2 linked regions of the Tribolium castaneum genome follow. Each later gene encodes a partner of the first gene's protein in a complex. Links are inferred from orthologs where the notes say so. Each region holds a gene or a part of one and is shown on either strand. Other genes may lie near its edges.

What was found.
Region 2: Ltn1 (region 1) and Clbn share a complex: the UniProt entries of both Drosophila melanogaster proteins name them as parts of the ribosome quality control complex. The link is inferred for Tribolium castaneum from reciprocal best matches to the Drosophila melanogaster genes Ltn1 and Clbn.

What each region holds. Positions count from the first base shown.
Region 1 is NC_087400.1:8,607,273-8,611,564, forward strand, and holds the start of Ltn1 (E3 ubiquitin-protein ligase listerin), read left to right. Parts: upstream 1-1,350; 5' UTR 1,351-1,443; coding exon 1,444-1,491; intron 1,492-1,537; coding exon 1,538-1,735; intron 1,736-1,779; coding exon 1,780-2,046; intron 2,047-2,092; coding exon 2,093-2,554; intron 2,555-4,292. Other genes in the region: Hibch (3-hydroxyisobutyryl-CoA hydrolase, mitochondrial), read right to left, coding at 1-785, 839-841. UniProt on the Drosophila melanogaster protein: E3 ubiquitin-protein ligase component of the ribosome quality control complex (RQC), a ribosome-associated complex that mediates ubiquitination and extraction of incompletely synthesized nascent chains for proteasomal degradation.
Region 2 is NC_087396.1:12,784,893-12,789,291, reverse strand, and holds the start of Clbn (ribosome quality control complex subunit NEMF homolog), read right to left. Parts: upstream 2,827-4,399; 5' UTR 2,671-2,826; coding exon 2,615-2,670; intron 2,567-2,614; coding exon 2,058-2,566; intron 2,011-2,057; coding exon 1,847-2,010; intron 1,794-1,846; coding exon 1,413-1,793; intron 1,360-1,412; coding exon 1,021-1,359; intron 975-1,020; coding exon 706-974; intron 653-705; coding exon 212-652; intron 158-211; coding exon 1-157. Other genes in the region: Myo81F (myosin-I heavy chain), read left to right, coding at 3,207-3,234. UniProt on the Drosophila melanogaster protein: Key component of the ribosome quality control complex (RQC), a ribosome-associated complex that mediates the extraction of incompletely synthesized nascent chains from stalled ribosomes as well as their ubiquitin-mediated proteasomal degradation.

The sequences.
Region 1 (4,292 bases):
CCCGCCGAAAAGCAATTATTAATTTGCTTCATCATGGGTTCAAGGCTAAACTCGCTATTGTCTTTAGTGCTGTATTTACTCAAAGTGCTATCAATGCTCCTACTGTCCCCACATTTCAATAAATCGCCCTCCAAAGCCTCCAAACATTGACTATCGACGTAATGGGTCGCTATCCCAGCTTTGAGGAGGTCGACCCCTTTGAGGCGGTACCCCGTCAGGGCTAGAAACAGCCCCAGTTTGCCCCTTAACCGCGGGAGGAAGTAGGAGCCCCCAACGTCGGGGAAGAGCCCGATTTGCGTCTCCGGCATCGCAAAGACCGAGCGTTCGGTGGCCACGCGATAAGGGCCATGGACTGAGAGCCCCACGCCGCCCCCCATGACAATCCCGTCAATAAATGCAATGTACGGGACTTTGTAAGTACCAATAAGTCCGTCAGTTTTGTACTCTTGTTTAAAAAAGGCATGGCCCAGTTTTTCCCCCTTCATACCAGCCAAGGCTATGGATTTAACGTCGCCCCCGGCGCAAAAGGCCTTGCCCCCAGCCCCCTTGATAATGACAAGGCTCTTCTCGCTCTCCCATTGCACCAAAGTGGGGTACAATTTATTTACCATTGAGAGGTTTAACGCATTAAGGGCCTTGGGTCGATTCAAAGTTATCACCCCTTTATCTCCCACGTTATCAAAGATTACGTCATCGGCAACACTTGACATTTTTCGCAAGACGGTGGGGCTCAAGACGAACAAGTTCTTGCACAAGTTTGAGGTTAAGATGAAGCTTTTCTGCAACTGCAAGTAAGGGGTCAAGGAGCGATAATTATACAGTGCTGGAGTCCCATTACCATTTTGTATTGGTGCTACACTGAAGGTTTTCAAAAACACCAGACAAGGTCAAAGTTCACAAAGCACAAAATTACAATTTTCAAGCAATTTATAGGCAAGAAGACACTGATTAGGGAATCACATGTTATTATTAAGCCAAACTGTGGCGAAATTACTGATAACGAAGCGACTTGGCTCGAATTTTAAAATTTAAAAACCTGTCAAATTTTGAAAATTATTTTCAAACACAATTCGCCAGGGAAACAACAAATCACAGGTGTGAGGACAAAAGTATTGCGACAAAACCTGTTATTTTCTACCTTTGAGACAAGTTGTAATTGGGCCACTATGTATATTAGGCACCTCACAAAAAGCACAATTTCCGCGTTGTCAGCTCTTCGCTTCAATTGCAATGATAAAAACCAACATTCACTCACCTAATTTAAGTAATTTTTGCAATTGTAGTACGGATTAGCGATAATATTAAAAAAAAAAAACGGTTTAGGCAACCAACAATACGCCAACTGACAGTTGAGGTTAAGTCACGTCGCTGACAGCTTCCACTTTTAAAGTTTTATAATTAGTGCTGAAGTAAACAATCTAGTGGACGCTTTGGGCTGTTACAATGGGCGGCAAGCACAAGCCCGCCCAAAGAATCAAGAACAATGCGAGGGTAAGTGCCCCAGCAGCCCCCTCTCGAATGACACCTGGTCCTGCAGCCTTCCAGCAGTGGGCGCAGCGCCGAGTTGCTGGCGTCCTCCTCACAAGTGCCCCAATTCGCCGCAGTTAAGGAGATCCGGTTTGTGCCCCCGACCCTGTCTTTGCTCAAAACGGAGGAATTTGACTCGTCCGTGTCGCCAGCGTTTCAGATCGTATTCAAGAAAATGAACAAAAAGGACTGCACCACTAAATTAAAAGTAGCGTAAAGAGTGAGATTTGGGTGCTTAATTGAGTGGTTTAGGCCTTGCAGGAGTTTTGCGACCTAATCGCGAGTTCCGAGGCGGAGGCTGTTAAGACGATCTTGGCGTTTTGGGCCACGCTGTATAGCATTTTGGCCACCGACACGGATCATAGGGTGCGGGAGGCGGTGCACAACGCCCACCATCAAATCATTTTGAAGGATAAAAAAATGATAGCCCCCTTTTTGAAACAGTTGATAGGGCCCTGGTTCACCTCACAGTATGATAATTATCCGCCGGCGGCCACGGCCGCGTCTAAAGCTTTCAACGTAATGATTTCTCAATTTCTTTTCAAATTTCTGAATTAAATTTTAGGCCGCGTTTCCGCAAAACAAGGTCCAGGATTGTGTGGTGTTTTGCCAAAAGGAAATCTTGACGTACATTTACGATAATTTGACTTCGAAAATTGAATCTAATCCTAAACATGGCACAAATGAGGATGCTGAAGCGAAATTTGAGAGAATCATTATTTCGAGTCTTCAAGGCTACTGCCTCTATTTGAATACACTGACTCAGGAACAGATCGAGAAAAGTGAGGATTTGAACAAGCAAATTATAAGTAATTCAAGGTTTCTTAAATTGGCAACGCATAAAACGGCACAAATTCGGGCCACTTGGTTCAAAGCCGTTGCGATTTTGTACCAAAAAGCCCCATTTTTGTTAGAAGAGGAACATAAGAATTTTGTTCCGGTTGTTTTCAATAATTTGGATGAGAGTGAACCCCCTGTTGTGGGTTCTGTGTGGGATGCGGCTTTGCTCATTATGGATTTAGGACAGGTATGGATTTTATCACAGCTTCCTTTTTTTCTGGACTTAAAAAATGTAATAATTTGAATTGGGTAGTAATAAAGTGATCAGTAATAAATCGATTTTGATCAGTAAAAAATAATAAATAATCAGTATTTAATTCATTTTTGCAGTAAAAAAATAGTATATGCACAGTATCTAGTTTCAGTTTGCACAGTTTAAATAATAAACGCTCAGTAGCTAGCTTGCAGACTGGGGCTTCGCCCTAGCGACCTAAGAGCAAACATACCCCTCCAACGTTTAAACTCGAAAATGTAAATCTCGAAATGTGAAATTCTACACTCTTTAGTTTTGAGATGCCATTACTTACTGTGCATTTATTATTTTTACTCCGCATTTATCATTTTTACTGTGCATTTACTGTTTTTACTGTTCATTTATTATTTTACTCTGCAATTATTATTTTTACTGTGCATCACTTTTACTGTGCATTTATTATTTTAATTTTGCATCTATCATTTTTACTGTGCATTTATTATTTTTACTTTGCATCTATCACTTCAACTGTGCATTTATTATGTATACTGTGCATTTACTACTTTTACTGTGCATCTATCATTTTTACTGTGCATTTATTATTTTAACTTTGCATCTATCATTTTTACTGTGCATTTATTATTTTAATTTTGCATCTATCATTTTTACTGTGCATTTATTATTTTTACTTTGCATCTATCACTTCTACTGTGCATTTATTATGTTTACTGTGCATTTACTACTTTTACTGTGCATCTATCATTTTTACTGTGCATTTATTATTTTAACTTTGCATCTATCATTTTTACTGTGCATTTATTATTTTAACTTTGCATCTATCATTTTTACTAATCATTTATTATTTTAATTTTGCATCTATCATTTTTACTGTGCATTTATTTTTACTTTGCATCTATCATTTTTACTGTGCATTTACTATTTTAACTTTGCATCTATCATTTTTACTGTGCATTTATCATTTTTACTTTGCATCTATTATTTTTACTGTGCATTTATTATTTTCACTGTGCAATTATTATGTTTACTGTGCATTTACTACTTTTACTATGCATTTAATATTTTCACTGTGCTTTTATTATTTTTATTTTGCATCTATCATTTTTACTGTGCATTTATCATTTTTACTTTGCATATATCACTTTTATTATTTTTACTTTGCATCTATTATTTTTTCTGTGCATTTATTATTTTTACTGTGCATTTATTACTTTTACTATGCATTTAATATTTTCACTGTGCTTTTATTAATTTTATTTTGCATCTATCATTTTTACTGTGCATTTATTATTTTAACTGTGTATTTATTATTTTTACTGTGCATTTACTACTTTTATTATGCATTTACTATTTTTACTGTGCATTTATTATTTTTACTGTGCATTTACTGTTTTTACTGTTCATTTATTATTTTACTGTGCATTTATTATTTTTACTTTGCATCTATCACTTTTATTATTTTTACTTTGCATCTATTATTTTTACTGTGCATTTATTATTTTAACTTTGCATCTATCATTTTTAATGTGCATTTATTATGTTTACTAAGCATTTACTATTTTTACTATGCATTTAATATTTTCACTGTGCATTTATTACTTTTACTATGCATTTAATATTTTCACTGTGCTTTTATTAATTTTATTTTGCATCTATCATTTTTACTGTGCATTTATTATTTTAACTTTGCATCTATCATTTTTACTGTGCATTT
Region 2 (4,399 bases), on another chromosome or scaffold:
CGCATCATTTTTCGGTTGTTTGGTTTTCGATTCACTGGTATTTCTCGACCTTTGATTCGGTTTAACCACAACCGGTTTATTATCTCCTAAATACACAACAGTTTCGTTCTCATCCGTTTCATCATTTCTTATCACAGGCTCTGTCAAAATGTTGATTCTAAAAAGTCAAACGTTAAACCACTCGGCAAACGCCTCGGGTCACACTACAAACTTCGTTCCTTCAAAATGTTGGATCTTGATTTGAGTGTCGGGAAATTTTGAACTTTCCTCATCCTCGGAGGAGCTACTGTTTTCTTCATTTTCAATTTCCTTATCTGCTGCACTTTTCACTTCCTCCTTGTTTTCCTCATCGCTTTCATCAAGCACCTCAACTTCCACCTCATCCTTATTCTCGCTCTCAACAGTTTCTACAAAATCTTCTTCGCCTGGCGCTATGACTCTTCTTTCATCCTTGTGTTTCTCAATGCAACTTTCTTCCAATTTAAACAAAAAGCTTAGACCTAGGATCAAGTGTGATAGGGGGAGGAAATTTTTCTTGCCCCTAATCATGAAACTACCGGTACTTAAATACTCTCCGGTTGGAGCTGTCTTACTGACTTGCTCCCCCCAGACCCAGTAGGCGTTAGTTACGACTTTTGCGTCCCAAGCAACACTAAAAAATTATAAAAAAAATAGCAAAACTTTTAATAAGTTACACTGACTAACCTGTAACAAATAGCCATAGTTCCAGCCTCGTTCAAGGTTTTAGGCGGCACTGCTTGACCTGAAGGGTTTTTTATAACAACACTACTAGCACCATGGACATCAGCATGCACATAGACATCGGTCGATTTCATGTAGCGTTTGACAATCAACTCGTTTTGTTGCTGGTCTCGCCCAGCTATAACCAAGTAATTTTCCGAGCTTATAAACCAGAAGAATTTCTCAAACCAGTACACTTTACGAGCTTTATTAATATTTGTGATTGTTTGGACCTAAAAAAACAATTAACAATGTCACCCTGTGATAGCAATATCTTACGTCTTTCAAAGTTTGTTTGGTTTTCTTTTCAGCTGACTTGAACGCTTTGCTTTGCGATTCTATTGTTTTTTGTTGTTTTTTAGCCGCATTTCGCTTTTGGTCATAATATCGTCTCCCGTTAGCAAAAGCCGATAAATCCAAGTCCACATCTACCACCATGGGTGGTATTTTATCGTCATTATCTTCGTCGTCTGACTCACTATCATCTTCAGCGTAAGGGTCAGTAAGATACAGGCTAATGTGGTTAGTTTCCAGCTTTAATTCTTTGATACGCTGGGCGATTTCGTCGCCTTGTGAGGCAGCTTCTTTGATCAAATCGGCCAAGTCAGACCACGAAATCTATAAATAAATCAGTAAAAACTAATTTAACCAATGACTTAAGTTTAATTTACCTGAGTGGCTAAAGCCGTCTGGACCGCCAGAATAGCCTTATCAACAAGCTCCTGATTTCTCGTAATGAGCTCAGCTTTCTGTTTGTCAATTTCTTGTGTTTTTTCTAGAGCAAGTAATCTCTGACTGTGATCCTTCTTCACATTTTCTAATTTCTTCAGAGCTTCCCGTTCTTGTTGTAAAGCTTTCAATTCAAGTTTTTGGCTTTCCAAAGATGAGAAAAACTCATCAACGGCTGAGTTAAACGAGGGAAATTCTTTGGAAATTGACGATTTATGTTGTTCGTACAGAACTGGATGAAATTCCTGATTTGAGTAATAATATTCTTTCTCAGAGTTATCAGCACTCACTACCCTTTCTTCCTTTTTTTGAATTATGTAACCCTGATTATAAAAAAATATAAAAATTTGTATAAAAGACTGTGAGGCCATATTACCTTAAAACCCGTTTTTTTGGCCTCTGAGAAAAGATTTTCGGCTTCTTCAAGAGCGCAGAGAACCTTATCGACATCACTTTCGATATTAAATGTTTTTCCGATTTTGGTGCTATTTGAAAAACCTTGTTTAAGTAACACATGCTCGATGAGAGGAGGGCCATATTCTAGATATAAAAGTTAATAAAAAATCGTAAAAATCGCCAATTTTCACCTAAATTCGGAACGAGCACTTTTTTCAATTGATCTCCGTTTTTCGCAGCCTTTAAAAGTTGAACCAGCTCATCTCTTGTGATTAAACTGCTCTGCCTAGCCCTATCCTGAGGGTACTTTTCCCTGACCACAAACTTAAACCTGTCGCCTTCAGTATGCGGTCGCAGGACATTTAATATCGTGAATTCGAAATCAGTCAAGATGATATTGCCTTTATCGTACAGCTCTAGAATAACATGATACGCAGCTTCGCCTGAACCAAATTGGAAATCGACAATTCTGTCTGTGCCCAGTTGAGCCAAACTCTCCAAGCGTTTATTTTTCAAGTGCTTTCTTAATTTCATGCTGAACCCCGAAGGGGCGACATTTTTGGGCCATTCAAAGCCGGTTTCGTGAAACCTATTGCCTGATTCTAGCAGAATTACCGCTTTTTCTTCACTTCTTTGGAGTCTTATCAGGTAAGTCTTATTGTCAATATCGTAGACGTTGTTCACTCGCATTCCGACACATCTGCAAATTAGAAATAAGTGCCAAAAGAACAATCTTACAGAAAAATACTTTTGGAGTTCTGTGACGGTGCAAATAATATCGAAGGTGTTGAACCGAGTTTTCATTTTGAAAACGGCAAGTTTTTATTTTTTGTTGCTTCCAGCGGAACAAAATTTGACCACGTTGTGTAATTTTATTACACCTGGTGCACAAAAAAATAAAAACACTCAGCTGGGTTTGACGTCTGGCAGGTGGGACAACGCTAGCGCCACCCGTCACTGGGTAAAGTTATGCCCACTTGTGTAATTTGTTATGTAACACGAATTTGGGACCAGTATTATTATTAAAAAACGATTTGAAGAAGTGCCAAACTGTTTTAGTTTTTATTGTAACATTTATTCCGGTTATTTGAGGGCAGGTTCCTGGTTTATCGACTCGTTTTCGTTTGTTTGGCGCTGTGGTCGCAGCACCCCTAGCTTTCGCTTGCTTGATTTTTTCATTTCCAGTTCCAGTTCTCGTCAGACCCTCGAGTTGTTAGTTCTGTTCTGTTTAGTTGAGTGTTGGTGTGTGCAAGCTCTCTTTAAAATGTTCGTGTATTAATTTTTTCGTGATTATTTTCTCTACCGAAATGAATGTTTCCCCGCTGTAAGGATTAGTAACAATGCAGGAATTAAATTTTACTTCAACGAGTAAGTGGAATTTTCGCAACCCCTGTATTTTTAAGGGCGGCATTGACATTTGCTGAATTAACACGGGGTTTTTTGCACTCCTATTAATTCAAAGAACAGTTTTTTTGAAAAGAAACGGTAATTTTTTTCAAAATTATATTTTTTAAGTGAAAAAAATAATAAATTGCGATGGGAGTGGGTGCAGTTGTTTTTCGTTTTTTATAGCACACACCTAGGGATGGGGTTTGTTTAGTGGTTTACATTGCCCTCGAGATTTGGCACACATTTTGCCCCATTTAGGTAAATGGGGGAGGGTTTAGAAAAATTATGATTGTCGATTTATGCATGCGAACACAGTGGGGTTCAAAAGGGCGTATTCGTCACCAAAAAGATAAAAATTATGCTCGCAATTACAGAACGAAATAATAAAATTCAATAGCTATCCAGACAATATTTTTGTATTAGAAATAAAATATGTCAATCTGCGTGATTCAAAAACCAGGTTTTTAAAAAACAATTATCTCTAGAAGGGCAATTTTCATCCCTTTCCCCGACTGGATTATTTGTTTAATCCCCTTTGTAGCCAAACTTTTAAATTTTGATTCATTCGTTTTTTATGATCTCGGCTCAGTTTATTGTTTACATTATCTTGGGAATTAAAATTTTCATTGTGAGGAAAAATCGCAATGAAATTTTTTCTGGCAACACGGAAATTATGAATGATTAAAAAAACTGGTGCTTAAGTGGGGTTGGTAGAAAGGAAAATTTACTTCTGTCTCACAGCTGCTAAAACATACGATAAATAAAATTTATTTCCTCAGTTGGCCACGGACCAAGATTGATTCGTACAAATTTTATTTCTTTCCGAACATCAAGTTAAAAATAGCTTAGAATTGATTATACCTTTGGTATAAATAGGTTTTTCAAGAAGTCGAACTGCTATTTCGTTGGTTTTTGCTTTATGTATATTAAAAGATTTCATTGACCTCACATATTATAATAAGACTTTTCGAGATTTCGACTGAATGTGACCTACGTTTTGGAATTAAATATTTATGTTTGGTGTTATTAAAAAAATGCAAAATAAAAAAATTCAATACCGAATATGAACTGAAACCCATCATTACTTGATCATCTGATCCGGCAAAGCTGAGAACATGAAATTTAGAAGGAAGTAGAATCATTT